Struthio camelus: one gene and its partners. The protein of the gene in region 3 purifies or fractionates together with the protein of the main gene of each other region. This does not show direct contact. Links are inferred from orthologs where the notes say so. Each region holds a gene or a part of one and is shown on either strand. Other genes may lie near its edges.

Region 1 (7,213 bases), on a different chromosome or scaffold from region 3:
AATGAAAACTAATAAAGTTTACACTTAATGGAAATGGAAGTAGGTGACAGAGAAAAGTTAAAATGGACACTATGGAAACACAAGATGAAAGGAGTCCATCTAAGAGCTAGCAGAATGATCGGCAACAGTAACTTCTGCACTCTTCCAAAAAAATCAAAAATAAAAAAACCACCACCACTATATTAGCCATTCCTCTTGCTCCCTCGTAGTTCCATACAAACGAAACTGTGCTTAAGCATAAGTCAATTCATCCTCTTTATACGTAGGGTCACGTTACAGAACCAAGCAAGTTCCAAGAGAAGAAAAATACTCTATCTTGAACATTATCAAAAGAAATACTGAACAAGTTCTTCCCTACTGATGGCAAGGGCAAAGAGAACCAGCTCAGCTTTCAGATTTCAGCGAGATCACTAGATAAAGCCATTATAGCTACTCTTTTAGTCAGATATCAAATTAGGCTGGCGTGCCATCTTTGAAGCAAACATATACTGAAACTCCAAAAGGACATTTTAGACAGTCACTTAAGCTCTGCCCACCCTGACATATGGACGCAGATCACAGATGTCTACTTATTTGCTCACACAAGCTAAACAAGAATTTCGCCTTTTAATTCTCTTTATCATACAGTTACACTAGCTCAAATTGCATTCCTCTGTGTTAACCTGAACTAAATCAAACAATTCACTGGACAGGAAATTCCATTAATAGCACAGGAACAACTGAAATTGGTACAACCTTGCACAAACAGCACTGGAATGCAGCAACCTGTTGGACGTAACTTTGCGCAAAGCTGACAGAAAAATATTTGAAGACATTAAACAGCACTGGAATGGGTATTTTTGTGTCAGCATCTCAGACTAACAGAGATCACTTCAAATGAAGTTTATAAAACAGAGTGTGTTACAGCAGGGCATTGTTCTCACAAGCACATTTTCAAAGCAGTATAACTAAGAAACTAGATACAGAGAATTACAGTGATTCAGAGACCTTAAACTTACATTACAAAATAACAAGTTCTCTGTAATTTCAAAATAGACACATAGTAACTCAGTACTCAATAAAAGTACAATTCCCATGAACACATAGTTAGTTTAACTTCATTGCTGCTGATCTAAACTTGATGGTCTATTACGATGCAAAAGAGGTCACTGGAACTGTCTTCACTTCTAATGTCAGATTCCACATTGGACAACTGCCCCCTCACTTCTGTGCTATGAAACTATGCAGAAAAATCTGCGAAGGCCTATCTAGTCTTCTACTTCATGAGGACCAAATATATATTTGAATTAAATAAAAGAAAGTTCCAAATACATAGGTTTCAGATAGTTAGCCAAAATGGAAGAAAAAAAAAATCTATCACATCACCTTTATTTAAACATTTATCGAGAAAAGATTAGAGATCTCCAAGCCCAGAAGTCATAATTCTTCAATAATCTTGCTAATTCCAAACAAGACAGAAACATAATAAAAAATGAAGATTTCCATACATAAATATAATCCTAACATTGGTGACTTACAAGATAAATCATAAGACACAATATTAAGCTTTACACATAACATCAGAAATCAAGCTGACATACATTAGGCAAAAGAAGGACTATCGTTCAGGAAGCAATTTTTTTTTTAAGTTTACCTCAAAATTCTCACTGACTTCTTGCATCATTTTCAATTTGGTTTCATCGGCTGAAAACGGAAATTGAAGCAAAAGAAATTAAATGTAAAACTACATCGTAGAAGGGACACCAGCTCCACCGATCAAAGAAGCAATCAGATCTTATCAGTCCAGCTATCACCGCCCAGGTAGAAGGCACACGATTCTCACAAACATCCCTCTGTCATACAACGGCACACGCACACAGCTCTCTCGCTTCGGCTCATGCAAATATTACTCATCACTTTGCTTCTTCAAAAATCAAAACTCAAACCAAATCCAAAGCGAATCCAGCACGCCTTTATCCCCGCTAGTCTAGCCAACGCCGCCCCTGTCTGTGAAGCAAACGACGGAAACACGGCAACCCGCAGCACAAAAGGAAAAAAAAAGAAAAGAGGGAAAAAAGCGCATCTTACGTGTGTTGACATCTGTGAGAGCGGCCACGAACTGCAGGTATTTTTTCATCAGAGTGGTTTGGTCCACCACGGTGGGCCCTTGCGCGGTGACGAACGCCATGCCGGGGGCGGCGGGGCCGGCTGCTTTCAGCGCTCACAGCCGACACCAGCACACCTGCAAGAAACACAAAACACCTCTTCAAGTTCATGCGACCGGCAAACAGCAGCTGACGCGCTGCCCCCGCAGCCGCGGCTCGGGTTTGTTAGACGGGGACGCATCTCCTCCGACATGGCAGCTGTCACGCTTAGTTTGGCTGATCCGTAAGGGCTGGCGCTCGGGGCGGCGGAAAGGCGCCCCAGGCCCCAGCGGACCCCCGGCGCGGCCCGCACCTGCCGCCGCCATCGCGCCCGCCCCAGAACGGCCTTAACGCCGCCGCCGGCCCCCTCCTTCCTCCTCCTCCTCCTCCTCCTGCTGCCGCCGCTGCCCGCGGCGCGCCGGTTCCGCCCGCGGACCAGGCCGGGCCTCACCTCACCTCAGCGCCGGCCCGGGCCTAGGCCGCGCCGAGGCGCCGCCACCGCCGCCGCCGCTCCTCACCCCGCGCCCGGCCGGCCCCGGCCCCGGCCCCGGGCCCCCTCCTTTGTTGCTCCCGGCGCGGAGGCCGGCGGAGGCGCATGGGCGCAACGGAAGCGCCCGAGCCCAGTTCCGGCCGCCGCCACCGCCGCCGCCACCGCCCCCCGGCCCGGGGCGGGGCCGCGGTCCCCGCGCCTCCCCCGGCCCCGCGCGGGCGGCTTCGCCCGGCACCGGCCCCGCCGCCGCCCTCCCTCCCTCCCTCCCTCCGGCGGGCGAGGGGTCACCGGGGCGGCGCGGGGAGCCGCGGAGGGCAGCGGCGGAGCCCCGCAGCCGCGGGCGGTACCTCAGCTGCGCCGCGGAAACCCGCCGCCTTGTCGGCCGGGAGCGGGACTGCCCCCTCGCCGCGGGGCAGGGTTTGGGCTGGTTTGAGGTGTTTTTGAGGGGGGAAAAAAAAAAAAAAAAAAAAAAAGCCTTGGCGGCTTGCGCGGAGCCCGTCACGTTGGCGGCGGGCCTCGGGGCGGGGATGGGGGCTGTCCCCGCCAGGGCCGGGCCGGGCGCCGCAGGCTGGAAGCGGCCGGCGGCGCGGACGGAGGTGGCGCAGCGGCGGCGGTGCCTGCCCATGGCCGCCGCCGGCATCCTGCGGCTGAGCTGCCTGGCCCTGCTGCTCCGCCGCCCCGGCTCGGCCGCAGGTAAGGCGGAGCGGGCGGACCCCCCACCCCCCCCGGCGGCGGCGGCGGCAGGTGCCCGGTGCCGCGCCTGCCTCCTGCGCCTCCCGGCCCCCTCCAAAAGGCTCCTGCTGCCCGCGCAGCCCCCGGCTGTGCTGCGGCAAGGGGCTGGGGAGCCGCAGGACCGCCGAGGGCTGGACGAGCCCTCGCTGACTCACGGCCCGACCTTGCGTTAGCTGCCTGCTGTCCAGCCGCGGCAGCCGCGGGGCTCCAGCCTGGCCCCGGCTGGCCTGGAGTGCCTTGACCGCCTCTGGGGAGAAGCTGCTGGGTTAGCCCAAGGCCGCTGGCCGTTTGTCCGAGCTTTGTTCAAACAAAGCGGAGGGTAGCCTGAGTCTTCTGGAGACCTGAAAGCTCCCTGTGTCAGACTTCATTCAATCACCCGCGCTTCTCTGTTGGCTCAAAATTTGTGAACCCGGGGCCTTTCTCATGTTACGAAGTGGGAACGGTGAAGTTCTCACTCAGAAAGCAATGCTGCGGTTATTTTTCCTCCATCCTTTTGCATCCAATGTTGCTTAGCACCTGGGATCTGTGGAGTGAAATTAGGGGCCTAATGAGATGTTTGAGGTCTCTTTTCTTACCACCCCGGCTCGGAGGGGGACGCGAAAGGCATGCAGGGGCTAGCTGACCCCAGCGCTCCCTCCGGCCCGAGCGCTGCATTAGAGGCCCCAGGTGGGCGAGAAGTGCAACTTCTGCAGTTCAGAGGTTCTGCCGAGTCCCCGGCGTGATGAGCCCCAGCAGTGCAGCGCTCTGCTCAGCGTTGCTTTGTTGGGCTCCTGCGAGGTGATAACTAGCCAGACACTGCTGGGAGGAGGATGGGTACGCCGCGGGGGAGGCAAAAAACAGTCTGTTCCCAGCTCTCCCAGTTCCCAGCCCTCCATGGTTGTTGCATTTGGTTTTGTTGTTCCAACATGTGCAAGTCATTTAATGTCGCACTGCCATTTCTTAACCCACAAAATAAGTGCAGCAGTGCTTTCCCAGCACTGAAACCTGGGGATGTAACCCCCGGTTAAAACTGAATTTAGTATCCTTTCCGTAAAACCAAACCTTGCCCAGCTCTGCCCGATGTAGTAGTTGTAAGAGCGTAAGTAAGTAGCTTGTGTAAATGCAGCAGGGAAGAGAAGGGGGAGCAAGGCAGAGCAGCAGGGCTGTTTTTCAAGGTCACGAGTTTGGCACCCCCTTGCACCTCGCTGTTCCAGTTGTGAAAGCCATGAAGTAAGAACCCTTTTTTTTTTGCCCTTGAGGGCTGAACTGATCAAACACTAGGATGTTGGTAGCAGCTACAGCTTCAAATGCACAAGTTTCATTTATACTGAAATCTTTGGCCCTTTCCTAGAAAGGGACGTTAACAGTAGACCATAGATAAGTAGCTGGTACTGAGTTTCCATACTTGGGCAGAAGGTGGAGGGTACCAGGGTACCTGTGTGTCAGCAGAGCTGATAAAGGAAACTACTGCATGAAATCCTGCTTGGGCCTGAAAGTTCATTTTTAGTCCAAGGCTTTGCCCAGTGAGAGATTTCTTTAAGCAAGTTGGTAATTTGTCCTTTCTGTAACTGCAGAGAATTTTGCAGTGTCCTCACCTTTGACTTCCTCACTACAGCCCTGGTCTTAAAAAGAAAAAAAAAAAGTGGAAGTGCACCAACTGCTTTTATTTTGTTGTGTTTAAGTTATTTTCATGTTTAATGCAATTTTCAGAATGGACGCTTAATGCCAAACAGTAGAAACAGGTATAAGGCGCCGAAATATTTTTGAAAACTCTAGTGAGCATGCACCTACATCTGCAGATGCCTGCACACTGAAAGTTAGCCTATTTCAGCAAGGTTGGCCTGGCCTGCCTTTTCCTTTGCAAAGGATCTTCCTCTGCCATACAAATCCTTTTCAGCACGTGACTTTTCCATTCTGTTTTGAGTGAGAATTGAAACAACACGGATTAGATTTGAACCTGAAGCTTTTCAAGTGGATGGAAGTTTAGTGAGTATGGTGTTAGATTGCTAATGAACATAATGTTAGATTATAGCCCAGCTCTAGCTATAAAGCCTCCTCAAAGTTTTTTGGATGTTCAAATTAACATTTTTTGTTTAGGCTACCCCTTACTATTAACATTTCTAGGACCAATTCCTAGATGTTCTTTAATGCTACCTGTTTGAATTCAAATATATATGTGCGTAACAGTTTCAGTTCTAGCCTTTTACATGGTAAAAAAGGTGGCAAAGTCTTAGCTGGCATTAGTATCATCGTGAATCACGTAACTACAGCTGACCAGTGAGAATGTGAAGAAATAAAAATTGCAAAACAAAGAGATTTTTCTTCTGATTTTTGCAGAGGAGTATGATCTGGAAATAACCAACAACGGTCCCATCACAACAGGAGCTCAAGCTACTGTTCGTGCCAGTCTAAGTATGAAGAATGACAGAATGGCCTCACACTTTTATCATTTTAACTGGATTTATGCTCCTCTGATTCTCATTGAGAAATCAGAGCAGCGGTTTCACTCCCTGATTAATGTGACTGGTGAATTTCCTGGGACTTTTCCTGTATCTGTCTGGGTGACTCACAAAAACTGTTGGTTGTGTCGGCCTGTTGCTAGAAATGTCACCGTACTTCACATCACAGGTAAAATGGCTTTACAACTTCTACAGCTTCTTTACGACTTCTTGAATTCTTCAGGAATTCAAGCTACATCACAGTGGCTGCACTACCTTTGCTAGTATCAGAACGAGCAAAGGCCATCTCGGACAGGCCGTGTGCTAACCAGGCCACGTTGTCTCCCTGCGTCCGGGAAGCAAGCGTGGTGCTGCCCGTGTTTTCCTGCCTCTCTCGCTTAGGGGAACCAAGCTAGAAACCAGACGCTCCAGTAGCTGTAGGTCACGCATCAGTGCTGTTTGGTGATACCCAGTGCTGCCTGTGTAGCTGCTCAGCGTTTCGAGTCCCATTGTTAGGGCAACCGGAAGGAGCCACAATTGACTAGTTTTCCCTTTTGCATGACATAGAAAAACTTAGGCCATCAGCATGACAGAGCTGTTACACTTTCTTTCAAAGTTCAGGATGATCATCCTGAAACGAGAGGTGGAGTCATGGCTGCCTTTCCAAATTGCATCTTACTGTCATATTCATAGCCATAAACAGGCACTTTTGGACAAACTGGCACATGGGGCAGTGTGGTTAGCCTAAGCTCTGAGGCAGGGATCAACGTGAAGCATCCTTTGACAGCGTTCCGTGATCCCTTCCTCCAAAGACAGGCAAGCGCGTCCCTCCAGCCATGTGTCCCAGCTGCTCTCCTTGTGCGCTCCAAAACAGACCGACCCCACGTTCTGCAGCGGCAGAGGAGCAGCATGAGGACATCAATGATGACAAAAGAGCCTACCTGACATTTTGAGGAATAGCTATTACAATTTTTCTTTGAGAAACGCCAAGGGAAAGCCTTTATAAAAATATACATAAGATCTTTTCTCTCTTAAAAATTGCTGCCTTGCTGAATAGCTGCTTATTCCTTTTTCTCTTTGCACTGACTTAAAGTCTCATGTCACTAGAAAAAGGGATAGACATTTTTTATAGCTATGGTAAGCTAAGGTAAGATCTTGTTGTATCCTTCTGCCTTCCCCAAACAAGAGAATGATCTAAATTTTCTAACCTATGAATAAAGAGGTGTCATGATGATACGCTGACCAGCTCATTATAAAATGAATAGGATAAAAGCTGTCAGTAAGACACTTACCCTGGGCACAAAGGTGGTTCCCAATAACAAATATAAATAGGGGCACAAAGGTAGTTGCTAATAAAACATAAAAATTACGTTTTCCGGTTAGATCTGCATTATCAGCCCTATTCTGAAGCAGTAATTGTGATTCTTTTATTTGTGTATTATCAAGATAAC
Region 2 (7,182 bases), on a different chromosome or scaffold from region 3:
TTTCATCCTGACTAACAGATTTCCATAGATTTCCACAGATATATGTGTGCAAATTAAATCTGGCTATTTCTGGTCCATCCAGCATACAAGTGTGTATATTTAATTGCATTATTTTACATAGAAAACATGAAGACAATTCAGGATTCAACTACTGAACAAATTATGTTGTTTGCGACATTGATTCCTTGATTTGTGCATCAAAAGTAAGCTATTTATCTCTAGGTCAAATGCAGCTGGCAATTATTTCTACAGCTAAAATTCTTCAGAAAATCGGTAATATTTTGCAAGGTGAAGAGATAAGAGTATGTACTAAAAAGATGTATGGTTCTGGCTTAAAGCTAAGCTACATAGTATTAATATAAGTTGAAGCTTTAGTTTTACTCATGTTCAGCTATGTGCAATGGCTTTTTTCACTATATAAAAAAAGCTCAGTATACCACAGGGCATCTTTTAAAAAAAACTTGCATTGTGCATAAAAATAAAATAATGGGACCAACAGCCACCTTGAGGGTAAATATGCTGCATCTTTTTCTGTTTTGATTTAAGCAGCGAAGAACGAACAAAACATGCACACAAAGGGGGTAAGGTTATTAGTATCTATGGTTCAATTGTGCTAACTGAAAAAGCAAAAAAAAAAAAAATCTTATGGCAGTGTATAAAATGCCTCTTTCTTGCTGGATGGGAAGCAGAAAGAGGAAAATCCTTCTTGTCAGTTAACTACTTGAGGAAGTACCTCAGAAGGAACTGCCTGTCCCATGCAGCTAGCCTAACCTTTCCAAGTGCGTGTTATTTGTACAGCAGGGCTGCAACTATGTAACTGACAACTAAGGAATCTATATAATGGGTGTTTTTACAGAAAATTCATGAACCATGAACTGAAAATGCATTTTATTTACTGACACCGGAGTTCATGCCCCTCATATACTTTGTCAACTACTCTATCCTTATTTTAATTTCTACTTTCTCGGGCTCAGGTGGTGGGACTACATTGCTATACAGATCAGCGAGGATGAACAGGATGCACAGTTTCCCCCCTCAGAAAGAGCCTGTAAGTTGAATTTGACTGAAGATCTGAATATTGGTCTTTCGGTGCTACATGGTAAGACTGAAAATCCAAAGCTCATGCAGAAGCACATTGCAATTGCTCTCTGAAAAATGGCAGCCCTCAGCTACTACCAAGCAACTGTTAATCTGGGGATATCAAATCAATTTTGGGTGGTGGAAATTTGGCTGCTTCTCAAATGGTGCTTAACTAAAATATAAATTCGAAACTGTAAATTACACAACTTCAAGTGTTTGTGCAAACAGAAACATTGTCAGAAGGCACTGTCAAAAATTAATCAAATCTCTACTGCAGAAGGAAGTTCAGAACCTGAATCTCTGTGGAGTAATTCCCATAACAGAATTGCTCCTGATTCGCAGTAATGGAAGATTCAGAGGTGCTGCTGTAGATCTCCTTGCCTGGCTTAAATACAAGTTCCGCATGTTTTCTACTGTTAGCACATGGCATTAACTCTTGAAACATGCTCCAAATTTTCAGCTGATGAAGAGTGAAGCCGTCCACCTCCTACACAGGTTTGGCAGCTATAAGCACATAAGATTGGTACTTAGCTCTCTGAACTGGTTTATGATATGCTTCTGCATGAAGGGTGTTAATTATAATCCAAATCAAGAATTGTCTCTTTATGAGTAAAAATATTTAAAGGAAATTATAAATAAGGGCAGTGTATCAGTATTGTTCTTTGTTCCTTTTCTCATAATCTTTGATGCTTCACTTGTTCATATGACTATTATTGAACATTAATCTGATGCTTTCATAGAAGTAGCTAACATAATTTCCAGATCTCTTTCCCAAGCTAATGCAGTTCTATGGGTTATGTAGGTAAAGTTATTGTCATTTCTTTTTCCTCTTGTGCATTATTGCACTTGATCCATCATCTCCTCTATTTCTCTCTCTAGTTGATGCAATTCTTTATTCTTCATTTTGTAAATGTTGTGTTTATCATGAACAGGAGTTGCATTTAAACTATATAATTACCAAATGCATCAGGTAACTAATAACAAACTCTAAATCACTCTGCAAAATTCAGTGACTGAACTTACTTAGTCAACGTTTTTTAAAATAAAAAAAATGGAATGTTATTCTCGGTTGGCATGTACTCCAAAGGGAAACATGCTCAAGTTTTATTTGACTAACAGTTCAAGCTAGTTCCAGAGACAGAAGATTGTACTGACAACTCCTCTAAGAGCTATAAGGAAGAGATGAGGAAAAGCAGCTGACCTGATCGCAAGGTGTCAGGATAATATGCAAGTGATGAGTATTTGAAGTACTAAAGACCTTTTACAAAGGGCTTTGCAGATTAAAGTCACTACACTGAATAGATGTGGGAAGCTCTGAAATGGTAGAAGTCTGTAGCCTTGTTCACACGGGCAGCTCAGGTTTATTCCTTCCATGTTGAAAGTACTCTTCGGTAAGCTGGGTGCCTTGTTCCTGTTTAGCTTAGTGTACTTTGCAAGTGGGCTAAACCAAATAGGAACAGGGCACTTTTATAGCAGAAGCATGCCAGCGCATACAACACACAGCTATCCTTAAGTAACTCCAGACGTTGACAAAACTTTAGTACAAAATTTCATACGTGAGAAATTTTGTACCAGGATTCTGCAGTATACGGACCTTCTGCCCCTCTTCAAGGCTAAGTCCATGTAAAGAGCAATACAGGAAATCGCTCCTGAAGGAAAAAAAAATCCTGGGCAGGCATGAGCTTATTTCTGCACTGTTAGTTTGTGACATAACTGAAGTCTGTGGCCTTTACCCTATCTTGTTTTGCACAGCACACATTTCTAACTGAAGCAATGCTTAAACAGTGAGCAATGCTGCCTTACAGGGATGTGTTGAAGTCCAAAAGGTAGCGAGGGAGCTGTGAACACAGCGAGGACCGTGTGATTCTGCGGAGCTGAAGCGCTGCTGCACAGCATGAACGCTGTCTCTCACAGGAGGCTGATCGTCCCTCACACAACGCTAATCTGAGGGAGGGCGGTTACGTGCCACCAAGTTAACTTATGTCAACCTAAGTGAATTCTCTTCACCACTGAAGATGTTTTTATTGCTAAAATCTGTTGTAATCCCAAAATAACCGATGAGCCCGCGTAATCCCACATAAAAATACAAAGAAGGATAAAGACGTTAAGTTTCACCGCCAGCAAAACTTGCTACGGCTGCACTCTTGACAGGTGTCACAGAGCTGCTGCTGGGGAGCCACAATCTGCCTGAGGAGGCTGAAGCACCTGAGATCATCTCTGAGAACAAGGAAATTTCGTCCCAGTGAGGAGCAGCCGGGAATATACTTCGAACGTACTACGGGAGTAGGGGAGTGCACGGTGCGTCTTACGCCTTCTCGGTGTCAGGCCGTTTCCAGAGGGAAAATTTCCGGCCGATCGTTTCGGGAATAAAACACCCGAGGTGTCAGCCTGGATAAGGCGTGAGAGTTACCTGGCCGAGGGGACGAGCTCGGGTCCTGCGTGCCACCTCCGGCTCTCGGGCTGGAGCCCTGCGGCGGGAGGCGAGCGCAAGCTGCGCGGTTTAACGGCCCCAACGGTCGGCGCGCGCGGCCACAGCGCCGCGCAGCGCCCACCCGCCTCTAGTGACGCACTCTACCCCGCCGCCCGAGCCGGGGGACGGCGGGTCCCCTCTCCCGGCTCGGCGGGATCGGCGCCGCTACCGTCCCAGCCCGCCTCAACCGCCCTCCCCTCACAGCAGCAGCAGCAGTAGCAGTAGCAGCAGCAGCAGCAGCGCCGCCGCCGCCGCCGCCGCCGCCCGCCTCAGGCTGCGCGCGCACCGCGCCTCCCCCCCCACCCCCCCTCCCGCCCGTTCCGAGCTCTCGCGTTGGCTGTCGGGATCGCTGGCCGCTTTGGTTAATGTCCGCCATGTTTGCCATGGCGCAGGGAGCGGATCGAGCGAGCCCGGCGCGGATCTAGGGCTGCGGGGCGTGCGCTGTGAGCTACGGGCGGCCCCGCGGAGAGCTGTTCCGGGGCGGCGGGACCCTCCATGGTGTTGCGGGCCGGGTGCGGGAGCGGCTGGGAGGCGGCGGCGCGGCCGCAGTGAGGGGCCCCCCCGCCCGCCCGGCCCCGGGGTGTTATTGTGAGGGGGAGACAATGAGCAAACTCTCCTTCCGAGCCCGGGCGCTAGACGCCGCCAAACCGCTGCCCATCTACCGCGGCAAGGACATGCCCGACCTCAACGACTGCGTCTCCATCAACCGGGCTGTGCCGCAGATGCCCACGGGCATGGAGAAAGAGGAGGAATCGGTAAGGGAGCCGCGCAGGGGGGGCACCATTGTTTATCAGACACCCCCCCTCCCCTCACGGGAAATAGGCCATTGGCATTCACCAAGCGCACTACGCACGCTCCCCGCCGCGGCGCTGCACGGCTCTTATGGGGCCCTGCGCAAAGAGCGCAGCGTAAACTGCTGTCCGACGCCGTAAGCGGGCCCTGCTCCGCCATCTTCTTTGCGTCCCGACTCGCGAGTGTTTTGATTAGTGGGGGGGGGGAGGCGGGGGGGGGCAGGCCTTTACGTTAGCGTAAGAAGGAGGAAGGCGCAAGAGGCGTCTCTGAATGAGCGGGCGAGCGTTGGGGCCGCCGCTGGCGTAGCGCGCCTTGGCTGCCGCCGCTCGCCTTGTGCGCGCGGCGGGAGCGGGCCGGGCCGGGCAGGGGGGGCCCCGCGAGGGGAGCGCGGCCGCGGCGGTGCGGCTGCTGCTGCTGCCGCCGCGGCCCCCGGGCGGAGCGCCGAGGGACGGGACGGGGCGCCGGGACAGGGCAGCGGCGTGCCGAGCCGGCAGGCCGCCCGCCGCGTTAAAGCACGCTGGTTGTGGCAGATGCGCTGCTAATAAATTCTTGGTAGTTTTTGGGAGAAAGCTTTTATAAGAACGCTTTTTGTTCGTACTTGGGCGGGGGAAGCGTTTCGTGCTGCAGAGTGTACGCCAGCTGTCAGGCACGGCAGCTGGATGTGTTGCATTAAGCATTATGCTTTTAAGCATTTAGATTTTTGGTTTTTTTTTTTAACTAAGCAAGTTTTAAAAATACGTACGCGATACTTGTTCTCCTTTCCCTAGTACGATAGAGAGAAAGAAGTTTTGTCCCCTTAAGGCAAAGATAAGTTTCTCGGGGTTTTCAAAGCATTGGTGCAGCACTTTGGAAGTGTATGCCCACAGCTCTGTTGCTTGTGTGTGCTGTTTTGTGTTACTGATGCTTAAACATCGACTCCTATGCTCCTTCGAGTTGTGTCTAGCTTAGACTTAGGTTGTTGCCCTCATGTGTCTGCACTTGCATGTTGAGCTGATAGTAAAGGCACCCTCAAGAGTTTCTTCAATGAATCCCTGTCTCCGCCTCAGCCAAACCTCTGTGCGTGTGGATTGGCTTTTCAGAGGTTACAGCTGTCAGAGGAAGCTTCGTGCCTTTCCGATTGGCTTTCTCACTTGACTATTGATATTAGAAGTCGTCCTTCTCTCTCTTACCGTTGGTTTCTTCTGCTGCTTACTTCACCGTATTGCAGTCTGTAATGCACTGTGATCAAAACTTCCAAAGAGTAAATCTGCCCCAGACTCTGAGAGCGTATTTGAAATGAGCAGCGATGTGATACTAATGCAGCAATCTTGGAGGGTAATATGGTTTTCTTAGATTTCAATAAAGTCTGCCTTGTAGTCCTCTGTTTGCATTTGATGTTTATTAAGTGTGGCTTATTTTAAAAAATGTTTTCTTGCTAACTCATATTTTAAATTTGTTAGTGGAAAAATTTCTCTAAGAGTTCAAGCAAGGTGCTTGTGGGCTGCTTAAATGACTGTGAAGAGGATTAGATTTATACTTTAATAAAACTGCTCTAGTGTTATACTAAAATGTTTCTTTCTGTATGTTTTTTTCCTGCACTGAAATGTGGCTGTACTTGATATATTATGCCATAATCTCAGAATGACATGGTCATTGATGCAGTATACAAGCTTAATGCTAAATACATCAGCCAAACAATATTATTAACAGATTGTTTATATTATTGCCATGTAATGACAGTTTCACTTAGGGTATAGGCCTTTCCCTGGGTTGCACAAATAATTTTTTGATGTAGATTTTTGTGTTAGTAGCACGTAAAGCACCTCTGGGAAAGGCTGCTGTTGTAGATGACAGTAGTTAAATATTCGAGGGCTTCACTTTAAACAGCTTTTATCATAGTAAGCGTTACTCAGATGTGATTTGGTCTATTTTGAGAGGGACTTTTGGAGGAGGGGTATATACGCATACTCCTTTCTGACATCTCAGTTACTTAGGTGTCTCAGGACCTTTTTAAACTCAGACTTCTGCCAGGGATACATCCTGTGAAAGGTGGCTGAACCATTAGGATAGCTCATGATTTGAACTTGCTGTACACAGACACAAAGCTCATGTTACTGTGGCCCCAGTATACTTCCATCCTTGGTGTGCTGCTATATCTGTAAAGCCTCAGTGAAAACAGAAGGATCTTGCAGTACAGTGGATCATGGGGTTAAGTGTTGTCTTCCAGATCTGATTTTTAACTGGAAATAATTATATATATTTACAGATTTCTCAAGTTTTAAAATAGCTAAGGTTGCTCTGTTTGTCTTGCCTGCTGTTCTTTACAACCTAGTCTTGCTGGTACAGGCATATGAACTGCTTTGTTCGTGATTAATATTTTATATATACAGAAATGCAGATTTTAGTCCATTTGTTTTTAGTGTGATTTATTTTTGGTGATAAAGTTTTTATTTAAGTAGTAGTATTGTGTTTGGAACGTGGATAGGGTTAAAGTTCAGGGAATTCTAATCATTGTCACCTGCTTCTTGTATTAATACTAAGGTTATTTGTATTAAAATGTCATAAATCACTGCTTTTGCAGAAGCACAATATAAGCCACCAGCCAGCCCATTCCAGAAAACAGTCCTGCTCAATGTGAGCATGAGTGTCTTTATCTGGCTTTTCTTTTGATTTGATCTTGATGAATATTCTGGAGTTATTTCCCATTTCAGTATCTTAGAGATTTGCATCCACTCATACAACCTTTTAGAGATCAGCAGCTCACTTTTTTTGTATTGTAACTCACGTGGCGATTCCAAGTGTTAATGTTAGAGATTCCAAGTTAGCAAGTGTTTATAATTTAACAGAAATTAAACCTGAGG
Region 3 (8,307 bases):
CCTCCACAAAGTATATTATGAGCCAGTGGAAACTACTGCAGTACATTTCTCATTGCTTTTACAGACTTGTCCATTGCCCTTCACTAGAAGAAAAGCTATAGAAATATGCAGGCAGAAGTTTATATTTTCAGCCTCCAGTCAAAAAGCTCCCATTCTTCTTCATCCACGATAGCTGGAAGGTTACTAGCAAGTAACACTGTCCCGAAATAGCAGAGCCCTCAGATATACCTTTCTAAAAGGTCATTCTATGCATCAGGCTCAATTATTAAGAATCTGTTTCAACCTCATGAGGTGAAGCATGCACACCATGTCACTCAGAGATGGCTGTATCTACTAAGTGCAGAATTCTAGGACTATGTTTCCATTTGAAAATGGACACCTGCAGTACTTCGCAGCTTGGAGAACTGTCACAACTGTGTGTTCTTGGAACTACTCTTCTTCAGGGCTCCATTATTGAGACCAAGTGTTTTCCAGTAGCACATGAGACAATTAGTATTGATATAACATTTATTGAATATTTCCACTCTAGTGGATGAAAAGTCTGTACAAAACCAAACATTTCCTTTACTTAATCAAACCGATCTAAAAACAGTCAGCTCAATCAAAACCCACTACAAATACAATAGCTTCTTTGAAGCCATGGTAACACTTAAATACGGTTAAGACTTCAATGCAGAAATTTGGTTTGTTAGAAAGCTCGGTGAGCTTTAGCTTCTCAAAGTTACAAAAAGGCAAAATTGTGTTTCACAGATACAGTCCACTGGAATCACCAACACTGGACAATTAAGTACTTAGAGTCCTGAGATAACACAGAATCCTGGTATCCTTTAGACAGTTTTCTGTTGTCCTTTCTTTCCAATGAGAGACTTGTGGATATGTGGTATTACACCTAAGAGAGAACAATACCAAGAATTAAGATCAAGTTATTCCATGTTATCAGATTTGGCTAAACTTTACACTTCAAATAGATTAAACAACCTTTGAGACTACTGGACTCCTTGTCACTTAACACAAAGTTAGAAAGCAAGTTACATACCACCACCAGCAATTGTTGCCTTAATGAGAGAGTCCAATTCTTCATCTCCTCTAATTGCAAGCTGCAAGTGACGGGGAGTGATACGTTTCACCTTCAAGTCTTTGGATGCGTTTCCTGCCAGCTCAAGAACCTGAAGACAAGAACATTTTCAGATTGAGTTAAGCAAGTCACACGAGACCAATTGCATTGCTTTAGCAATTTCCTTCTTTACAACAACTGTATAGTTACCGACAAAAAGATATCAAACAATGCGTCTTTTTTAGCCAGCTCCTCTTTTAGAGCTTTGGATTTAGTTTCCCCCAAGGAAAGAATGATGTTTTGCAGCAGACAGAACATGCTGTAACTGCACATTTTATGAAGTACTTCACCATTTGTGTCTTCAACATAAGCCACAGCTACTTGCTCTGCATAAAATCCAGAGCAAAAATTTCCATACATGCTTTATGGTCTCCTCAAGAAGCATGTACTTCACAAAACAGGCTTAAAGCAAATGAAGAGTTCATAACCCAGTCTGAACTGGCAAAATACAGGAGACTCCAGTCATTACACCATTTCAGCTGGACTGACCAACTTGCTTGTACCCCTTGCAGCAGCTTTACCTCAGCTGTCAAGTACTCCAGGATTGCCGCGCTATACACAGCAGCTGTAGCTCCTACACGCCCATGGCTGGTGGTCCTTGACTTCAGATGCCTGTGGATGCGGCCAACAGGGAACTGAAAGATAAGAGAAGTAGGAGTAGGCTGTCACCATAGAAACAGAAGAAAAACACTATTCTGAAATACTCTGGCTGCAGGGATTCTGTTGTCTAGCATATGCAACTGGTGCTAGTTGAATTCTAGTGCCAGAGATGCTGTGTAGCACAGAAGACTACATTTCAACACCTAGTATACAGTGTCCTTAGCTGGATTCCCCAGACGACATCAGCAACTTCACTTCACAAACCACTAGCAGTAGCAACCGCAAGGCAATTCTCTTCCCCAGCACAGATGTACAGCAAGTCCAGAGCATGCTTGAGCCAAACACTGACATATTTGAGGATCAAACAGATCTTTACACCATTCCAAATAATGGACAGAAGGCACAGCCTGTCCAGATTTCAAAAGGTACCACCTGCAAGCATAAAGCCAACCTGACTTCCATCTGCCCATGCCCCAGTCTCTGCTCACCTGCAAGCCAGCCCTCTGAGAACGGGACACCGCTTTGGTCTTGGTCTTTCCAGAGTCCTTCCCAGCTTTACCACCAGCCTAACAAAGAAGAGATACGTGTAAGAACAGATACGTCCGCGGCAATGCTACATCCCCCGCCTCTCCTCCCCTACCTGTCAGGGACCGCAGCCAAGGTCTCAGTCAGGGACCGCGCAGCGGCGGCATCCTACCCGCGCATGCGCTCCCGGCCCTTCCCTCCCGCAGGGCGGCACGCGCTACGCCAAGGCGCGTGCGCTCTGCCCGCTACACCTAGCGGCACAGGCCGCTCGCCGGGCGCATGCGCCGCAGCCACTCCCTCTCCCCGGCGGCACCAGTGCGCGTGCGACCCTCCGCGCGCCCCTCCCCCGCCTACCGGCAGGTAAAGCGCCTGCCGCTGCTTGCGCGCGCTCACTCGCTCCCTTCCCCCGCGCGTGCTCCCACCTCCTCCCAACTGCCGCCACCGGATCGCCTCGCTCTCTGCCATCGCCGAGGCGGCGCGGCCCCGCGCCCCCCCCTCCCCTGCGCGGCTCCTCACCATCGTGAACGGGACCGTAGCGCCACGCACGGGGACACAGAGGAGAAGAGCGTCCCGCACGCACCGAGCCCAGGCGACAACGCTGACCTGCCCCGACGCGCCGCGATTCAAACTGCGCCCGCTCCCGCCTTCCCCCGGCGCTTTATAACCGCCGAGCGCGCCTGCATCCGGGAACCCCAGCCTCGCCGCCAGCCAATCGCCGCAGGCTGGGGCGGGGCGCCTTCGCACGGCGACAACCAATGGGAGGGGCGGGGGGGGCCGCGCCGACCTCGCTACGACAGAGCTGAGGGGGGCGCTGGCGAGCGGCGCCGTTCCGCAGAGGGCCCGCCCACATTTAAAGGAGCAGGAGCCTACGGCTCGCGCCGCGGCAGGGGGGGGGCCTGTTCCGCCATGCCGGGCTGTGCCGGGGCCCCGCCCGCTCGGGGCGGCCGGCGGTGCCTGCGCCGCGGGGGGTGGGGGGGGCGCGGCCCTCCGCTGGGGGAGGGGGTTCCGAGCCGCCCGCGCGGGGAAACCGCGGGCCTCGGCCCCAACCGCCGCTGCAGCCGGGTAACGGCCGCCCGGCTTTGAACCGTGCGTGTCGTGCCCCCCCCCACCCCCGCCCCCGTTTTCCAGTTACTCGGCGCGGTTAAGACGCCTTCCCCGAGGGAGCTCGGCGGCACGCCCCGGCAGAGCTGTGCTTGATGGCTTTATGCAGCTATTTAAAAGAGAAGCTGAGCGCCTGTCAGGTAATGAGCTGTGTATTAGCCAGCGAGATTCTGAAAAGCCTTTTCAGCATCTTGCGTGCTGCTAGGTGGGAGAGTCATAGCCGTAAAAGCATTGCTTAACCAGTCGCTGTTATTAGGTTTCAAGCTCTCAGGAGCTCAAGTCAGATTAACAAGATATGTGAAGTGTGCTCTGATGTAAAATTGCCATCTGAATGGCACCCACTCAGTTGTCACCTCAGACTGCAGACACCTTCCTTCTCTATCAGGAAGTCAGAGCTGCAGCCTTGCATAATCCGCATGCTCGTGTGTGCGCACAACAAGCCTTCCCCACCCCAAATACAGCAGCACCTGGCTCCCACCTGCCCCCCCCCCCAAAAAAAAAAAAAAAAAAAAAATCAAGACATGAAATCAAGTCCTGAAGGCCTCCCCAGACTTCTGAACAGGAATAAATCAAATTGTTAACCTCCCCCCCACACTTCCCTCATGCAACAGTGTTTCCTATCTCACCTGCTGCTTTTGGCAGCAAAGGCAAGCCAATTGTGTGCAACCCTTAGCAGCACACAGAGCGCTTCTCCTATTCCAGCTGCCATCACCATTATTGCAGCTGCAGGAGATGACAGGGATCAGAGGAGGTTAGGAAATGTGGCATTCATAGTAGAAAGCAGATGAGGTTTAAGGACTTGGTGGGGTTACCTGCATGAGAAGTGTTTGCCAGAACTCATCTAGTTGATATTACTGTAGTGCCTAAACTTATAAATAATTATTGCCATGTCCCATTGGACACCCAAGAGCAGGAAGTCTGACAAGACCCTATAAAGGAAGTACTAAACATCAGTCAAAGACAACCATAGTTCTGTTACAGCTATATGGCAAATGCATGGTGCCGGGCAGCTTCTGCAAGAAGCATAGTCTGTTGAGGTCCTTCAGAGAGAATATAAGTCACATGAAGCTACTTGAAAGTATACTCACTCTCACAATGTATAATTTAAGGTGATGGAAGAGATTGTGCTATTACAGAGCAGCCTACAAATAAGGGGGTCTTTATGCTATACAAAGATACTATTTGATAATCATTCTCAGTCAGTTCTTCGACTGAGAGCCTGAACATGATGTGCTTCACACTTTAATTTATCATGTTGCCAGCTGAAACACTTCAATGAAGTTAATTGACTTAGTGTACAAAGCAGTTTAGAAGCAGACGGAATGAGGTTACATCTCAGACTTGGGATGAGGTGCTATTGCTATATTGGCAAACACATGAGGCCAACCAATGTGGTTTCAGCAGAGATGAAGTCACATCAACTGCTTGTGACACTGGGGGAGGGGAAGTGCCAGCATGTCAAACAACTGTGCACACACGCACTAGTTTTTATTTTTACCTCAGTCTTATGTAAGAGCCACATGATTACCAAGGGCAACCCTGCTTCAGACCCATTCATCTTACTGAATATTTCAAACTGTAGTTAAACCATTCATTCTGAATTCAGTTCTTTCCAAGTATAACTTTAAATTAATGCAGTGCAGATGTCCTTTGCTTGGGCACTTCAAAACCCTGCCAATATTGCCCTGAAATGAAGCCTTAGCCCCATTTTTTTGGCAGGTGCCATTTCCAGTGCAGTATAGTTATTTCTGCTGCAGAAAAAAAGCAGCAGACTGGCCATTTAACCTCAGAAATGATTTGTAGGTTTTGTCTGTTAATTTCTCTTTCAGCTCTAAAAAGCTAACTATTCATGGTGCAATTCCAAAACATGATAGATCTTAGTTTTAGATGATGTCTAATTCACCTGGGAGCATCAAACATGCTCAGGCAGAAGTCCTGGTACTTCAGTGAATGAATAGCTGTTTAGAGCTAAGACTACCTCAGTCTGTCATACACTTTACTAATAAAAATCACCAAATTACCCTTTCAGATGTGAATATGTCTTTCCTTAAACCTCAATATCAAAGAGTCCAAGCAAGAGCAGTACTCTTACAGACTGAAGTTTAACAGGAGATGGAGCTGTTGACATGAACTTTATGTAAGGCTATTCTTCTCCACAACTTTTCTTTCTTCCTATCTATAACAAGCCAAAGATACAGAGTTCTAAGATACATGTCTAACTGCTGATGCCTAGAGCTCGTCCTCAAAGTCTTTTCTGCTATATACTAAAATAGTAAAGATTTAAACTTCATTACCAGGGTACCTATTATTGAATGTCAGCCATGGCAATAAGAGTCTCAAATCAAGTTGACACTTACAACCACTTTATGAGCTTGAGCAATTTTACATCAGCAAAACAGACAGAAGAGCTAATAGTTTAGGTGTCTTTAGTTGCTAACCAGCTACCTACGAGCAGGAGTCCGAGTCCCAGGGAGCATTGTCATTTAGCTGCTCTTTCTTCAGAGCCATGTGTTCAGTGCACTGGCAGAATGGACTCTGCCCGAGTCTTCAAACAGTCCCAGATCATATCATCACTACCCTTTACCTCCAAGTTTCAGTTCAGCCATTTTATGCTAGCTAGTCCCACTTCAGGGTAGAGACCTAATTCTATCTAGCTAGGCACAAGCACAAAGGCAGGATCACATTAAGAGCAGACACTCCTACATTCAGGAATTTGGCGTTTTGTTTTTATATTGCTGTCTGGTGCCTCTATCTATTTGAAGCATTAGTTATTTATATTTTCCTTCAACAAACTCCAAGTTAAGGGTTTTTTTTTTTTTTAATGTTAAAAAAAAAAAATCAAGATTTTTACAGAAGCCTGCAGAAGTTAGGATTTCATTCAACCTACTGTTTAAAAAAATGGGTTCTGTCTGAAGTGCCTAGCAAGGATCAATTCACCCTCTTCCTTAAAGGAAACAGAAGCCCATTTCCAGGCCATAAGACCCTCTGGTAATAGTATACTGGATGCAGTAGGAAAAAATTAATTTTCTTGCTGGTTTCTGTCCACAGAAGTCCTAGGAAACAGAACAAAGAGGACTCCTACCAGATGGAAATAATCCCTACCACAGACATTCCTGGCTTCCCACACAAGTCTCCCTGACAGTTTGCTTCAGCTGCATGCTTTTAGCCACTTAAGGCCTCTTACAGTTCCAGCTTGCACTACAAGGGCAAGACAGCATAAAACTGAAGATGGTGCTTTGCACTGATGTGTTTAAAGCAAGCATAACCCCTCTTAGCATGCATCAAAGATCAGGGTAGGTAGCTACTTAAGCTAATACAAGGATGTATAGATACTGAATAGATCAGGTGAGACATATGTTAGATAGGATCGTATATGAAAGTAGTCTCTAATCACCCTAAACTAGCTAACAAGCTTCTCAACATAACCAGCAATCCCTCCCCCCCCACACTATTTAAAGAGATAAAGTAAAACTAATGCAAGTACTCTAGGATTAGTCCAAAAGCAACTTCAGAGCCACTTATAAACACAGATAACTCCTATTTCAATCCCCTGTATGCAAAGGGAACACTTACCACCTCCATCCTCCTGACACAACCAGGCTCCTTCTCAATACCCCCAAAACTGCCAACCTGACTATCTTGCCCAGCTTTTATAAAGTAATTGCCTCATTGGGGAGAGAGGGGAATATGCTTCAAGGGGGCACAACTGAGAAATTAGCCTTTATTGGTCCAATTAACATTGATAGGTCCCTTTAATGGGGTGAAAAATCCCTCCAATAGGTAAGGTTATGGGGAATCTGGTGATGCAATGGGTGTAGAAAGGGAAGGAAGAGGCTTGATGTAGTAGTATTCATGCCCAGTAGTCTCAATAGTGAGGCCTGCTGGAGTACCTTTTTGTTATCTCTGACAGGCCAGTGATGAAGAGTGTTTTGCTGCATTTGCTTCAGTACTTGTACACTGCTTTATTAGTATTAAGGTTTTCAGTATTAACGTTTTCTGATGCTTTTGATTACAAAACACTACATTCATACTAAACTGTTTTCTGTAACTGACCTGTCACTGCAGTACAATTACACTCAATCCAATAGACAGGCCAGGATTATGATATACTAGGGTATATGGCCAAGCGATGGGCGCAGGCATCTGCTCAGGCAGCAAAGCCATGCCTGGACATGGGGTGTGACAACTATCTGATTCCCATCAGTAAGCTGACCTGGGTTGAGTGCTGCTCTTGCCCAGCTGCAACACCTACTAACTCTGACCAAGTGGTAAGCCCTGTGTTAGCACGCTTTATACAGATCCCCATTAGGAGGAAGGCAGTCTTACAGCATAAGTTCTCAGGTAAGAATTGTCTCCGCTTTAGAGACAGAGAACTGAAAGTCAGGGACATTGAATCACCTGGTTACGGTCTCAGAGCAAGCAGCTGGTTGGTTGAGTCTCACCAGCTGGCCTTCTGCTCCCAAGAATCTCATCTTCAGCCATGTCTAGAGGATGCTTTCTGTGAGCAGATATGGGCTTGCCATGCTCATGTTTTATGTAGCTTTTCAGCTGTGCTTGTTAGGTGAAGCTCAACATTACATTTACCATTGTCCATTGTCTTCCAGTGTCCAGTCGGCTTGGAGTATGGACAGAGTTCATTCTTCTTTATCTGCAAAGTACAGGGTAGATGTACATTTTGGATGTACCTTACGGATCTACCGTTCTATTTTCTGGGACTTATCTGGGATCTATGCTAGAGCACATCACATCACTAAGGAAGCATGCCTTTATTTCATTTTTTCAGCATGTGTAACGCAACAAAAGCGAGGAGCCTATAACATAGCTTTAGGGAGCCTGTCTTCAGAATAGACCCCAGAGCTCTGTATTAGATGCCTGAGCTCCCTGTGGAATTCAGAGGGGAAGATGTGCATCACAAAATAGGTCCTGAAATTGCCAGCATGTTCAGGGGCGACTCAGCACCTGAGTGA
Region 4 (7,301 bases), on a different chromosome or scaffold from region 3:
TCTCTAAACCTCAAGGATAAAACGCTCCATCTTCTCTTCCAAGAGTGAAAACAGCTAGGTGAGGAACAGCAAGATTATTATGGCTTCCCAGACACGAAAAAAAAATTTCCCTCTTTACTTTTTACTGAGGACACCTTTCACTCTGTGTGAAATTGCATATGTGAAAACTTTCAAAGAAATTTGGACTCTCTTGAAAGGTTAGGACTGTTAAGGGGGAAACACAGGAGAGAACCTATTCAATTATCCAAAGGTTCTCTCTGGTATATGTAAGTTCCTTCAGTTTTTCTGTTTCTCCCTCTGCCCCCTTCTAAGCCTACTGTGACACTACATTCTGACATAATAATTTCTTAGAACAGATTTCGCAAGGGAGTTGCCAGAAATTCTACTAGAATAGAGAACTTTTTTCCCAGAGCTTGACATTTTATCACGGAGGCCTGATAATCCATGACTTGAACTGAAATAGATAAAGACATTTTAAGCTCCACATGTAAACTGTCTTAGTTGGACATCAACAGTCAAAGTCACAACTTGGATGTTCTTCCCTTTCCCACAGGTATTATCAAGACGTAAAATAGATACAGTTGGTTTGCCTATACTTATTCCAATGACAAGAAGCAACACCTGTCCCTTTAGAAGTCCATGTTCCCCACAAAGGACAGACTATAAAGTCAGTATCAACTCTGACAGTAGTGCAGTTATCGCTTTATGACTCTTGTAGTTTTCTGAGACAGCATCCCTTGCATAAATGCTGTTTTCAAGGCCGTCAGAGACACTGAAGCTACACAGAAAGTCACTATTTCACAGCATCAGAATAATCTGGTTGATACGGAACATTCAGCTGGCTGTCTGGCAATTGACATGGAAGAGATGAGAGTTCTGGAGTTTTGTAATGTCTTGGGATGTTTTGTCACTCATTGTGCAAGAATTATTGAAGTACTACGGTCCAAAAGAGATTTGTTTTTTTCAATCTGGGCCTAAGGTTGAACTTAGTATAAAATACTTAGTGTCATTTGCCATTTCCAGTTATGGCAGAGGAAACGACAGTACTGCAGCCTTGGCAACACTAGTCGGCTCGTCCTGAAATACACTTTAAGTACTAGCTTTGTTTCCATACTCAATAGAAGGCAAATTTGTGATCTTATTTGGAACTACCTAAGCCCACGAGCTGCTTCCTTCCCTCTCCTGGTGCTCCCTAGTGACACTTACTTCATAAATGTTATCTCCTACTGCTCAGCTCCTGAGCCACTGTTCACGTCCTTTGGCTTTGGCATTGAAGCCAGGATAGCACTTACACCACAGTATACAGAAAAACTTATAGCCAGTTCAACACACATTAATAAAGTCTGTCAAACAGACCAGCTGGAATCATTAAAGTAAATACCTCAGATCAAGCTTGAGACCTCACTTGAAAGGATTATAGGTCAAACTATTGTTTGACCTATTGCACTCCTAGACAGCAAAATATTGTAAGCATGGTGCTGCATTTCATACTACTGCACTGCACCAACTTGTTACTTCAATCCTTGTTCTTTCTCTCTCTCATTCTTCCTTATGATTGCCCAGTCCTTCTGTATTGATGAATCCTCGCAACTTTTGTCACAAAGAACAATTTCGTCAACAAAGAGCTTTGCATTATGGTCATGACCATATTAATTGTGTGTTAAATGACAGCAACACCTAACTAGAGCCAAAGAATCCTTTAGCATCCTGACATAAGTCATAGATGAGACCAAAAGGCAAGGAATCCTGAAAACAAAATTAGGCAGCATCTGAAATCAGGATATAAACACAAGATATACAAAAAGATCAACAGAGAAACGTAAAGTGGACGTATATTTGGTAAGTGCCAGCTAAGGCACAAGAGACTAGGCAGAAAACATTTTCACATGTACAATCATGAGGGGAGATGGCTGGAAGGTTTCAGAAACAGCGCACAGCGACCTGCTGGAAGAGCGGGATAAAACTCATGCTCCAACCCACCACCACTGCTCTTAGGAATCAAAAGTCTAAAGAGTTTGGGACATGCCACCGAAAACGCCTTAAGGAGCGGCACAAGCCCAGGAGCGAAGCTCCTGTCAAATCCTAGCTGCGCGGAGACGGCGCTGTGAGCGGCCGGGCGGCTCGGCGGGGCCGCGGCTCGGCCCCGCTCGCTGACATAGCGCCAGGCGCGCGCGCTCCGCCCCTCGCTGCGTCCCGGCGGCTCCCCGCGCGGCGCCGGGGCTCCGCAGCGCCGCCTCCCGCAGCCGCAGCCGCGCCCGCTCCGACAGCGCCGCGCCATCGCTCTCCCGTAGGAGAAGACGCCAGGAGCCCGGCGCGGCGCTGGCTGCCGGCCCCCCGGAAGGGGCGACGAGACGCAGCCGGCCGCGTGGCGCGGCCCCCCGCACCGGACCGGCCTGCGGCGCTGCCGGAGAGACAGGGCGTCGGGAGGGGAGGGGAGGGGAGGGGGGCGAGCCACCCGCGGGCCACCGCGCGGGGCGGCGGCGGGGAACGGGGCTGCCCAGGCAGGCCGCAGCGCCTGCCGCGGCGCTGTTTCGCCCCCTCTTCTCCTGCCCCCGGCGCGAGCGAGCCGGTGCCCGCGGCCGCCCCCCGCCGGCGGGCCGGGCCGGGCCGGGCCGAGCGGCGCAGGCGGGCGCGGGGAGGAGGAGGAGGAGAGGCGAGGGGAAGCGCGGGAGGGGAGGGGGCGGGCAGAGGAGGAGGGGGCGGGACTCACGTACTCTGCACCTGCAGGTCCATCTCGCGCATCTCGGTGAACCTGTCGCGCAGATCCATGGGAAGCTGCTCGATCACTGCGGGCACACGGAGGGGCGGGGGGGAGGGAGACGGGGAGGAGGGAGGAAGTCAGTCACCGCCGTGGGGGAGGGGGGGAACCGCCTCGTCGCCGCGGCTCCCCCCTCCCCGCGGCCCCCCTCCGCTAGCTATGCCCCGCCGCCCGGCATCCCCGTCCCGTACACACTCACTCTCCAGATAGTCCTCCAGATACAGCATGGCGGCGGCCGGGCGAGCGCCAAGGGGCTTCTCGCTAACGGGGGCTCGTCCCTTCCAATATGGCGCCGCCGCCAACAACACCAGCAGCTCGACTCAGCGAAAACAACATTGGCGGCTGACGGGGCTCGGCTCGGCCGCGCCGCAATTGGCTGCCCGCGCCTCTGACGCACGCCGTGCCTCGCGCGCCGCCGACGGCATCACGGGAAATGTAGTTTCTGCCCGGGGAAGGGCCGGGAAACTACGTGTGCCATGATGCACTGCGGCGGCCGCTCCTTCCCGCCCTCCCGTTTCTGCTGGCGCGGTGGGGGGAGCTGGGCGGGCGGGGTGGCGGCTGCGGGGCGCCGCGTAGCTACCGCGGGCCGCTCCGCTGCCTCCCGACCCTTGTGCCCTGCGTTGTCACTGGGGGTTTCTTACAGCCCCAGGTCCTGGAGTTTAATGTTAGAGTCCGTGCGCTGTCTTTTCGCCAGAAAAAGAGTAGTATAGATAGTAATAAAAGTTACAGGTATAATGGGATATCTGTGGGCTTTGGAATTGCTCTTTAGTGTAGAAAAAATAATTAGCAAATAGATAGAAATGAGTAAGTTACAAGGCTTCTTATTGTAATTTACTTGTTAAATGTTTTGAGCTGAAGTTTTTCCGCAGTTTCAATCCCCGGAATACCTTTATTTCATCGCTGTTTTATCATTAATTGTATTTCCTGGTCTAGTCATGCGCTAATGCGTAGAAGACAGTGATTGTTTTTGTCCAGATGTTCCTACGGTGTAATATGGTTTTTGATGGTGGGGAGGACTTTTCAGGGAGTGGGTGATACCGGATGTAGATAGAGGCAGCGTAAGAATTGCCATACCAGAAAAGACAAGTTTTCTGCCATGTTTGTTATCTTTTCGTTTGGTCATCTGCGCCATATGCATCCAAGCAAGGAAAGGAAGTATATGGCTTAGCCAAGTGTGAGAAAAAAACAGTGCAGGATGTTTTTGAGTGTCAGGATGAAGGGAAAATTGCATTCTTTTCTCATGTTTTAAGTACATATGTTGTGAGTAATTAGCTAAAAATGATTTAATTTTGGAAGCTGGAGCTTAAATTCTGTGTGTGGCTTTTATGAAGATTTTCATTTTAGTTCTGTCTCAAAAACATAATATATAGCCAAGCATTCTTTTATATTCCTACCTTATTGTAAATGAAAAAAAAAAAAGTATAACAATAACTATGAACTTCTTGGAAAAGTGTTATACCTAAGTGGTCGCTTTCCATTTTCATTCCATCAATTAGCTGTTTGTTCTGCACTGCTGATACAGAAGTATTGACTAATGTCATAAATACCGCTGAACAATTTTTAGATGCAGTTAAGCCCAGTAAGTATCAGTCAGGAGCAATAGTTGAAAGCATCTGCACTCTTTAAAGTACAAATTTTAACATGCTGGTATAGGAATGACAATGTTTTTGAAGTTCTGTGTGAGAAATTGCTTGTGCCCCTGTTGTTATGTGGAAGACAAACGCTCTGATCCTTCCTGGGAAATGAATCGCTACACTTCTATTAAAGTGAAAGGGTTCGATGTGGCAAGATAACTTAGCGTATTCAAATGCACAGCTAAAGTAATCATATCCTATTTTCATTAGGAGAAAAGGATGGTGAATTTAGGGAAATCTGAATTGATGGGGGTCACTTTTTTCGTTTTCAGTGATGGCTTTAATGTTCCCTAAAGACTGAAAACAAAATTTTATAGTAGACAAAATGGATATGTATGTATACATACATATCCAACAGATATTTAAGAGAACAATATTGTACAAAAATATTGTACAAAACAACTCCACCATTAGAACTACAACTGAAGCACAGTTATATGGTAAAGTCTCACCATGGTGCCCCATGACCGAAATCACAGGACAGCCAGGATGCTGGGACTTGTAACCGTCTCCTGTGCTGAATTTGCTGCATAATAACTCTCTCTTTCATGCCTGAGTTTGCTGCGTGCCTGAGTTTGTGGGCTTGGGGAGAGTCAGCAGAATGCTCACCAAGAGCTAGTGTGATAGGGTGTTTTCAAATATTTCCTGTGTACTGTGGTACCCAAATGAAGCAAACTAAGAAACACGTTGCTTGAGGCTGGGTCTCAGTCACTCCTTTTAATGCTAGCGTTTGCACCGTCCGCATGAGTGGCAAGGGAAAATGGGACTCAGGCACGCCAACAGAATGACAAAGACAAGATTCTGGTGGGGCTGGACCCTGCTATCTCCAAGGCAGGAGTGGCCCCCTTTGTGTTTTAGTGGAATGTGTCAGCAACTTTTGTAAAATTAGGAAGCTTCTTTAAAAATCATGCATTGTAGTGCTTTACAGCAGGGGATGGGAGGGGATAATGTAGAGTATGAGTGAAAATAGAATTTAGCTTTGTTCAGTATTGAAAAGCAAATATGAACTCCTTTATCTATCTGTAGTCTCTTTTTTGTACAATTGGAGAAATTGTCACATAGTCCATTTCTGCCGGTGTTAATTCACACTGTATACTCAAGTGTATAGCCAACCAAATTCAGTGGGATTGTGTGAGTAACTACTGCTCATCATGGCAGACTGACAGAACAGAGTTTAAATTGCCACTTTAAGAAGTGATTAGCCTTAAAGGCCGTACAAAAGGAACAATATTTTTACAGTGAAAAGCTTCCTATTGTGTATAAATGTAAAGACCTGACTTTCAGAACAGCCTAATTGGAACAACCTATTTAGAGCAGCTCCTGATCAGGGAAAGAGGGATTAATGACAGTGTTTATTGGGATGCAAATGCATTTAAAAAAGAAGTAAACACTAGCTGTGAATTCAAGCTAAAAAGAAATTCAATTTGTGAATTGCAATCAACATTGTTCAAAAAAACCTTCCATATAGCAGTAGACATGCTTAGCATAGAGGAAAGAATGGAAGCCATAGGAGTTGCTGTTTCCTCCTGCTGGTATAAACTGTAACATTATTAATGTTGATGGCCTTTGTCCTGCAAATGCTTCACATAAATCATGTCTCATCACTTGTGGCAGAATGATGGCATAAAGGAATATTGCAGTTGCTCTGTGATCTACCTAAAGCTAATCGCTTGCATAGGTTTCATTAGTTTTCAGCTGTCAGGAAAGAAAAAAAGATTAAAAAACATGGATTTATGTTCTGATGTACATTTCTTAGATGAGGCTCAGACTCTTCTGTCTTTTCCCTCTCATCTGTCCTTTCCCATTCCAGATCTCTGTGATGTCTTTTTTTCCATAATTCTGTTCTGTCACTTCCCACTTGCAGGCTTGTGTGCCAAGTCTCTGACTTCCTTCTGTCCAACTTCCCGTTCCTCCTCAATCAGTTGTTCTTTCCATTCACTGTCCTTCTCCTATCCATTCTGTCTGTCTTGCAAGCTATATGTTTTTCAGGGGCTTTCTATACCTATTCGGGAGTGTCACTGTTGCGTAGTTTCTTTGGTACTTTGATTTTTAACTCTTACCTAATCCAGTGTTTTTAAACCTATAGTCCTTGTGTTTTGCTTGTTTTTTCAAGGACTGTTTACTAATACTTTGATTTGAAAAAATCAGGAAAGACCTATCTAGCCCATCCCTAGACTGATGATCCTAGGTCTCAGCTACTGCTGGTAGGTTTGTGCGCTTTGAATTTCTCATATGGGAGTCTGTCCCCTTTGCACACAAAGACTGCTAACATACAATGTGAAGCAAAAGCTCTTTGTTACTGAGGTCTAGACTGTGCTCGCTAAAGAGCTTTAAGAGACAGTGACAGCCAGCCAGCACTAAGTAATGGTGCAACAGAGCCTGTGTACAAGTACCAGCCTAGGCAGCTCTTAAAATACTGGATGCGAGAATTTTGCTTTTCTTTGGCACTGCCCCGTTTGCAGTACAGCAGTCCTATCTGGCGGAAATCCATTCACCACGGTGTGCTGCAGCGAGCATTTGCTGCCGATAGCAACATTCCTAGCAGTTTACAGAGTTTTGTCTGAATACCAGTGTTAGCATCAGGCCCTTGGTCTCCTTACAGGCTTTCAACTACTTTATTATAATATTTCCTCATCTGTTTGTTGCCTACTCTCTTTCTGCTGCTGTTACCTTTCCATTCTTTCCAGACCTTCCTCTCTTGCAGTCCAACTGTCCCTCTCAGCAGCTGTGGACCTCACCATCTCCCGTATTCTGCCCCTTCTTCTTCCACAGCCTCATTCTCACTGTGCAGGAAATAACTGTCATTCCAGCTGTACTATACACCCATGGCTATGGAGGACATTAGTTAAATTACTAAATTGTCTTGAGACTGAGTACCATGTAAAGGTTACAGCATGATCGTATTTGTT

The links.
Region 1: the proteins of H2AZ1 (region 3) and TRRAP purify together in Homo sapiens (affinity purification with mass spectrometry; 3 studies listed by BioGRID and IntAct, with this or other methods). This does not show direct contact. The link is inferred for Struthio camelus from reciprocal best matches to the Homo sapiens genes H2AZ1 and TRRAP.
Region 2: the proteins of H2AZ1 (region 3) and EPC2 purify together in Homo sapiens (affinity purification with mass spectrometry; 3 studies listed by BioGRID and IntAct, with this or other methods). This does not show direct contact. The link is inferred for Struthio camelus from reciprocal best matches to the Homo sapiens genes H2AZ1 and EPC2.
Region 4: the proteins of H2AZ1 (region 3) and ING3 purify together in Homo sapiens (affinity purification with mass spectrometry; 5 studies listed by BioGRID and IntAct, with this or other methods). This does not show direct contact. The link is inferred for Struthio camelus from reciprocal best matches to the Homo sapiens genes H2AZ1 and ING3.

Annotation. Positions count from the first base shown.
Region 1 is NC_090956.1:8,614,572-8,621,784, forward strand, and holds the start of TRRAP (transformation/transcription domain-associated protein), read right to left. Parts: upstream 3,030-7,213; 5' UTR 2,961-3,029; intron 2,771-2,960; exon of another isoform or gene 2,575-2,770; intron 2,222-2,574; 5' UTR 2,168-2,221; coding exon 2,068-2,167; intron 1,684-2,067; coding exon 1,634-1,683; intron 1-1,633. Other genes in the region: TMEM130 (transmembrane protein 130), read left to right, coding at 3,141-3,306, 5,662-5,952. UniProt on the Homo sapiens protein: Adapter protein, which is found in various multiprotein chromatin complexes with histone acetyltransferase activity (HAT), which gives a specific tag for epigenetic transcription activation.
Region 2 is NC_090947.1:43,603,547-43,610,728, forward strand, and holds the start of EPC2 (enhancer of polycomb homolog 2), read left to right. Parts: upstream 1-3,892; 5' UTR 3,893-4,152; coding exon 4,153-4,305; intron 4,306-7,182. UniProt on the Homo sapiens protein: May play a role in transcription or DNA repair.
Region 3 is NC_090945.1:27,837,898-27,846,204, reverse strand, and holds H2AZ1 (histone H2A.Z), read right to left. Parts: upstream 3,060-8,307; 5' UTR 2,759-3,059; coding exon 2,756-2,758; intron 2,600-2,755; coding exon of another isoform or gene 2,519-2,599; exon of another isoform or gene 2,295-2,518; intron 2,281-2,294; coding exon 2,203-2,280; intron 1,750-2,202; coding exon 1,636-1,749; intron 1,167-1,635; coding exon 1,037-1,166; intron 890-1,036; coding exon 828-889; 3' UTR 490-827; downstream 1-489. UniProt on the Homo sapiens protein: Variant histone H2A which replaces conventional H2A in a subset of nucleosomes. Nucleosomes wrap and compact DNA into chromatin, limiting DNA accessibility to the cellular machineries which require DNA as a template.
Region 4 is NC_090942.1:26,308,746-26,316,046, forward strand, and holds the start of ING3 (inhibitor of growth protein 3), read right to left. Parts: upstream 3,182-7,301; 5' UTR 2,986-3,181; coding exon 2,958-2,985; intron 2,787-2,957; coding exon 2,715-2,786; intron 1-2,714. UniProt on the Homo sapiens protein: Component of the NuA4 histone acetyltransferase (HAT) complex which is involved in transcriptional activation of select genes principally by acetylation of nucleosomal histones H4 and H2A.